2 linked regions of the Xenopus tropicalis genome follow. The protein of the gene in region 2 purifies or fractionates together with the protein of the main gene of each other region. This does not show direct contact. Links are inferred from orthologs where the notes say so. Each region holds a gene or a part of one and is shown on either strand. Other genes may lie near its edges. The genes, in order: cyclin B5 and pkmyt1.

Region 1 (4,428 bases), on a different chromosome or scaffold from region 2:
ATCTGGGCCCACATGTTGGTTTGATTCTTAAAGCTACATTTGCTCTGGAGGTTACTTGTCTAACTGCTTTGACCGCCACCTTGCAGTTCTACAGAGGAGAAAAATTGTAATGAATTCTTAACATAACATATGTATGGTCATAGAAAACATTGTCTTTATACCATTATTGCAGGTTTGCGTCCTGGAATTACAGTCCTGTTACTGATTTCTTCTAGCGGGGCTCTATGTCCATGTACTTTGGCTTTGGCTGCCACCACTCCACCAACGACTGCATTGTCCATCTGTCCTGACTGCTGTGGAACAGAAAAAAAATTAAAGTAGAATACAATGAATAATTTTGCTTGATAACAGATATGCAACACTAAACTTCTAGTTTATTTGGGTGCAGTTCCTCAGTGGATGCTCTATAATGTACTGTTGCCTTGCACTGGTAAAACTGGTGTGTTTGTCTCAGAAACCCTACTATAGTCTATATAAATAAGCTACTAAGTAGCCATGGAAAAAAGAAAAAACACAGGTTACATAGCAGAGAATACAATGGGAATCCACTCAGTTTATCTGTTATCTGCTATTTAACCTTTACCTTTTCTTTTTTCTTCACTTTAAGGGCTCTGGCACACGGGGAGATTAGTCGCCCGCGACAAATCTCCCTGTTCACGGACGACTAATCTCCCTGAAATGCCATCCCACCGGTGAAAATGTAACTCGCTGGTGGGATGGCATACGCGGTGGCGCAATTTCATCCCATCAGCAATTTACATTCTAGCCGGTGGGATGGCATTGCTGGGAGATTAGACGCCTGCGACAACAGAGATTTGTCACGGCGCGACTAATCTCCCCGTGTGTCACTGCCCTGGGAGGTTATGACCTGCATTGTATGCCTCCTATGGCCTAAAGTAACAGTGCATGGGGATGACCCAAACCTTGTAGCCCATTATTAAAAAGGGACATAAAGGAAAAAGTATAATCTTGCTCAATGTTGCAATTTTTAAGACCACCGTGTAACAAATTTCTTATGCAAGCATACATATCCCCAGTTCCCCAAACATTCTATTAGTGCACTGCCAGCGAGCATTAAGTTCCCTTTAAACTGAATATCAAGTTACATAGTTTCAGGCCCATGACAGACCTTTGACTGCTCTTGGCTCTGAACAAGCAGAATGTGGGCATCATTAGCAGAAACTCAAGCCACACAGGCCCTGGTGCAACATTTTACTGGGGCTTCCAAATTCTCCTACTGCTCAGACTGCTTATCATATGCTTCTCAGTGCTGCAGCAGCTTCCCTTCACAACCTTGTGGGCCTCCCTCTCTGAACTATTTTGTACCTGGGGCAAGAATGAAGTGCATCAGAATTGAGCCTCTGTACCCTACTGTGCATAACCTTAATATGTTTGAAGCCATTTGGGTGGGGACCCATCTGTGATAAACACTGGGATGAGATGAATTGGCTAGGGGTGAGGTGACCATGGCTAAATTACCTAATTTGCTGTAGTTGTGTATTGAAGCCCATGTTCCAAATGGATAAATGCATTTTTCTGTGACCAAATAAATTAAAACAAACTGCATGGCTCAAGCACCAACAAGAGACATCAAGGCAGCAATTTAAATAGCCATTTTATCTGTGTTTTCCTAAAATATATATATATATATATATATATATATATATATATATATATATATATATTTATTACACACACACACACACACATATACATACACACACACACAATAGGCAATAATCGAGAAGTAGGGAGGCCATTCAAATGTTACCAGCAGCCCAATCAGCACATAGTTGCAATCTAGAATCCAATCTACCTATAGACCTGTGCATGATGAACAGGTGTTGCTAATATAGAACCAGCTGAAAGCTTAATTAAGCACTAAGTTACACAGCAGATTTTGATCAGATTTTGTGGTTCAGATTTAACATGATCCACAAAATATTGTCACGCAACTGCAGGAGATCTGATCCCCACAGTTGTAATGTAATGTCAGATCAGATAGTCAGATGATGGGATCATGGGGTTTGTTCCTGCAATTACATCTGACAGTCAATGTAGTTCAATGAGAAGAGTGTCAGACCCATCAGATTTTCTCTCAACATATGCAGACGCAGCATTCCCTCTGAACAAGAGTAATGTCAGAGGACCGATGTTCCATATACTGTAGTTTACACATGTCCCATTTTATGTTGACCCATGTAACAACATTCAGCTTGTATGATCCGTCAGCACCGCCCTACAAAATCTCCCATGTAGTTTAGTTCTAAAGGGGGTTTCATAAATACCTAAATATCTAATCATATGGCTAAGTAATACAAAAACGTGCAGGCCACTAATAAGCTCTAGAAGTCAGGCTAGCCATTGGTCACATACTAAACAGGCCTGATATAGGATTATTCATGGCAGTATTATGAATGGAAGCCTTAGTTAACAAAAACACAAACTATCTATAAATGTTCCTGCAAAGTGTAGGATTCCCAGAAACAAAAGCATTTTCCCTTACCACCTTTAATGTCAGATTCCAGTGACAGTAGTTTGAACCACATTTAATTATGCCATTAACTGGTATAATCAATAAATTACACACTATAACAAAATTGTCCAGAACTAGACACATTAGGGCTACAACATCTGCAGCATTGTAAGGGGTTTCACACAATGTATCCATTGTGCAAACAACTTGTTAGCCATCAGCCATTTAACCCAGAGAAGAAGTAATTCTACTTGCACCAACCTATGGGCCAATAATTAGAACAAATCCATACTCACCATAGCACCCCAAGTAGCCATACTGCCCACAGCCTACCTCTCACAAAACTCACTACTAATCACTGTAGCCTTCCAGAGTTTAAGAAAACATCCCCTGTTTCTGATTGGCTGGAACAGTCCTACATACATGCCTGTTTAACTCTTCAGTTGCTGCAGTATTTGCAGTAATACAGTTTCATATATAGCAAGGCACAGTCTTCATATAGGCATTTGGAGTGCATTTAAAAGCCACCCAAAAGAACAACTGCATTACTTTAATTGCCAACAATTCCTTTAACAATAATAGATGTGAAATGTGCCTTGTGCAAGAATGCACTCAAAACCCCCATATTAAGTATATTTCCTAGGTTTTATAGTGCCATCATATGTATCACACCAACATTCACCTTTAATTATGGAGACTTGCAGAATGCACATTGTGCAAGGCAGTACAGCCCTGTTTTGGGCATATTTCATAACCCTGGCTAGTTAAACATGAGCCCTGGATTGTATGCAAATGGATAAAGTGTTGTGCTTTGACACAGTAGGAAGGTAATTATGTTTCTAAAATAACAGGATAGCAGCTGTGGATAAGAATGGGTGAGGTATGAGAGTGTAGGCTAAAATGGGGGGGATGAGGATAAAACAGAACAGGTATGAGAGTGTAGGCTAAAATGGGGGGGATGAGGATAAAACAGAATGTTTTATCCTCATAGACTGACTTTTTATATGAGCAAAGATTTTGCATTATTCCTAAGCAAACACTGTGGGACTCCATTATGAATACAACATGTTTTGGTCCCATCAGCTTACTATATATATATATATATATATATATATATATATATATATATATATATATACTATTCCACAGCTACCCATCCTTTCCCATACCTATTTGCCACACCCCCAAAACTAAAGATCAAAGAACTAATGCTTAACAAAGAAGTATGCCTGCCTTTAGCAGGGAAGATCTGTGCCCCCAAAGATTCCCCCAGTAGCTCCCCATCTTTTTTTCTGCTGATTCCCTGCACATGCTCTGTGCTGCTGTCACTTACTGAGCTTAGGGACTGATTCATATATACTTCATATATTGAATATAAGATTTATAACACGTGGCTGATTAGTAATTGATTCAGATACTCATGTCAGCTTCAAAGCCAATGCAATTTGCGTAAGAATGTAAAAAAATTCAGCCCTGTAGCATCAGCTTCTATTACAGGTGAACCCAGAGCACACTGAGCATGTGTGTGTGTACATTTGTCTTTGCAAGACACTGCACCTTTTCTAACTCCAGCCCTGTATGGAGTGGGTACGGGTTTCATAACTAGTGATGAGTAAATCTGTCCTGTTTCGCTTTGCCAAAAATTTGTGAAACTTTGCAAAAATTCACATAACACGTAAAATGACGCACACAATTTTTTGTTTGTTTGTTTGCTGCTCAGTTTGCGAAAAAATCTGGCAATGGCGAAATGCAAAAAATTTCGCTCATTACTATTCATAACATCAGATTCAGATTTTCATTTGGATTCTATATCCTTGTGTTTTTCATGCTTTTTAGTTAACCTCAGCTCATGCCAAGGTTACAGATATAGAAAACATTGCTGTCAGCCATAGCTCCAGGTATATCTAGAACACTGAGGATGCCCTCAAATCTCACTTTGTTATTCATACAGA
Region 2 (2,645 bases):
CTGGGATGATGAGAGTCTTGGTGACGATGTGTTTGAGGTTCCACCCAGCCCATTGGCCGCTCACCGGAACTTTACATACCATGGGCAGGAGCTTATTGGCAGGTATCAAAGCTATTATAGTCAAATTTTGTCTTTACACAATTTTAATGCACCTATAATATGGTAACACATTTAGACTGGAGCACCTACTCCATATGGTGGAATGCATAAAACCCAAAAAGCCCACTTTTTTTGGTGGTTATATAAAAAACTTGTGGTTTTGTCTTTAAAAACTAGCAGGTCTACAGTAGGTTAGCGACACACTCAACATTTTCTCCGCTAGTTGAGAAAAGGTAGATCTGCTACCTTCCTTGAAACTATGCATGTTTGTGCAGAAATCTGCAAGCCATTTTAGCCAGCTTGGTCTGCCCAAATAATACTGATATCATTAGAGGCCAAATGGAAATGTGATCCTTGATCACCTGTTGTTGTTTATCTGGTTAGAGCAGTGGTGGGCAAACTTATTAGTCAACTGAGCCAAATATCAACAAAACAGCGATTGAAATTTCTTTTGAGAGGCAAATTTTTTGCAGTCACTGGCTCACTCGTGCATGTAACGAGCGAGCCTCCCCTGCACTGCGTATCCTGCCCCCCGCCTGTGCCGCATCTCCCGTAGCCCAAAGACCGCCCCATCCTTCTGATTTTTGCTATGGGCAACGAAAATGAGATCACACTGTATGTGCGAGCCCGCACCTGGAAGAGCCAAATTCAAGGGGCTCAAGAGCCACAGTTTGCCCACCACTGGGTTAGAGCCCCAGTTTGCTAAATAGCCTGAGTTATGAAATACTTTTAAAACAGAATTTGTAGAGGAAATTTATGAATAGTGATCTCAAATCAATGCCTTTTTTTCTCCTAACATAAGACATTCCCCAGACCTGCTCTCAAGACCATCACTTGGAAGCACCTCTACCCCTCGGAATTTGTCTCCTGAATTCAGCATGAGAAAGAGGTAAGTCACAGAGATCCATCACATTTACGGGCTGTGACACACGGGAGATTAGTCACTACATGACAAATCTCCCCGAAATGCCATCCCACCGGCTACAATTTAAATCGTCGGTGGGATGGCATATGCTGCACTGCGATTTGCCGAAGTTTCCACTCAAGGCAACTTTGGCAACTTCGTCAAATCGCGGCGCTGCATATGCCATCCCACCGGCAATTTACTTTCTAGCCGGTGAGATAGCATTTCGGGGAAATTACTGTAGTTGCCTACGACAAGAAAGATTTGTCGCGCAGCGGCTAATCTCCCCGTGTGTCACAGCCCTAAAACTTCATAGTAAACATTGTGGTGCCAGAGTAACATTTGTATTACGCTTTGGTACCCACATAATTTGTTCACTCCAAAAAAACAAGTTTTCAGCCACTGCTGATGAAAATGACCATAGTGAGTATGTATGAAGGTGATGGGAACCTGGGGGCAGAGACTGATATCAAGTATGTAGAATAAATAAAGGATAATAATCTCTATTTCTAGGTCTGCTTTGCCTCTAACTCCTAATGTCAGCCGGATTAGTCAGGAGTCTTCAGGCAGTGTGAAGTCTACTAGCCCCTCCACCAGTCATAGTTCCTCTGGATTTGTCGATGCCGAGGTCCAACGTTCTTCATTTCTCCCTCGCAATCTGCTCAGCATGTTTGACGATGCCACCGAGCAATGAAAGCGGTGCCCAGTACCACAGCACCAGACTTTTTCTTTCGATCATATATTTGACTCCAACCATTGGCTTTTCTCTGGAGAAAGAAGCTGAGATGTCTACCAAATACTGGATGTATTGAGACAGGGGCTCTTTGCTACACTGCACATTTAGCTATGAAAATGACACCGGATCTCTGCATTTTAGCAAAAAAAAAAGTTTCTTTATAAAAAAATGACTTGATTGCAGGTTTACAAACTGAAAGAGTAATAAGTTGTTCATGATTTTGCCATGATTACTGCTGTTTTCCAGTTCTTGTTGCAATATGTACAAAGTGATATATTTTGGTCCTTCACAAAATCATTTTGGTTTCACTAAAAAGTTGAAAGGAACATAAATATCTTGTATATGTAAGGGCTGTGCTTGACAAGTTTGTCTTCCTTTTCCTTATTATCGATCCTGTAAGATTTTCCAGCGGCAGGGATCGTCTATGCAACTGACAACCGGGAGAAGCCCAGTAATAATAGAGAAGCATTGAACTCATGTACTAAATAGGAAACTGCAGAGGCATGAATTTTCACATAGAGGCTATTGTACTTTCAAGATGATTGAATAGGTCATAGCTATAGCTTTATCCTTTGGTTTTATTTGTATTTTCAGTTCTAGGTGTAAAAATCACACCAGGGGTGTAATATAGATTTTTTAGTTACAATAACTAGGGATGCACAGAATCCAGGATTCTGCCTTTTTTGACAGGGTTCAGATTCGGCCGAATCCACAGTCCTACCTACAGTAGAAATAACCTCGCACTATGGCTTCCTAGGGTGCACTTGAATGTAGTAGGAAACTAGTTTGGATAGTAAGAAAGGCACACACTTAATCAAGGCACACCATCTAATGGAATAAAATAACTATACTTTATTAATTTATTTCTAAAAGATTATTAAAACCATATACAAGGGGAATAGGAAA

What was found.
Region 1: the proteins of pkmyt1 (region 2) and cyclin B5 purify together in Homo sapiens (affinity purification with mass spectrometry; 4 studies listed by BioGRID and IntAct, with this or other methods). This does not show direct contact. The link is inferred for Xenopus tropicalis from reciprocal best matches to the Homo sapiens genes PKMYT1 and CCNB2.

What each region holds. Positions count from the first base shown.
Region 1 is NC_030679.2:99,201,909-99,206,336, reverse strand, and holds the start of cyclin B5, read right to left. Parts: upstream 2,809-4,428; 5' UTR 2,794-2,808; coding exon 2,773-2,793; intron 294-2,772; coding exon 162-293; intron 89-161; coding exon 1-88. UniProt on the Homo sapiens protein: Essential for the control of the cell cycle at the G2/M (mitosis) transition.
Region 2 is NC_030685.2:12,691,694-12,694,338, reverse strand, and holds the end of pkmyt1 (membrane-associated tyrosine- and threonine-specific cdc2-inhibitory kinase), read left to right. Parts: coding exon 1-102; intron 103-901; coding exon 902-988; intron 989-1,516; coding exon 1,517-1,697; 3' UTR 1,698-2,087; downstream 2,088-2,645. UniProt on the Homo sapiens protein: Acts as a negative regulator of entry into mitosis (G2 to M transition) by phosphorylation of the CDK1 kinase specifically when CDK1 is complexed to cyclins. Mediates phosphorylation of CDK1 predominantly on 'Thr-14'. Also involved in Golgi fragmentation.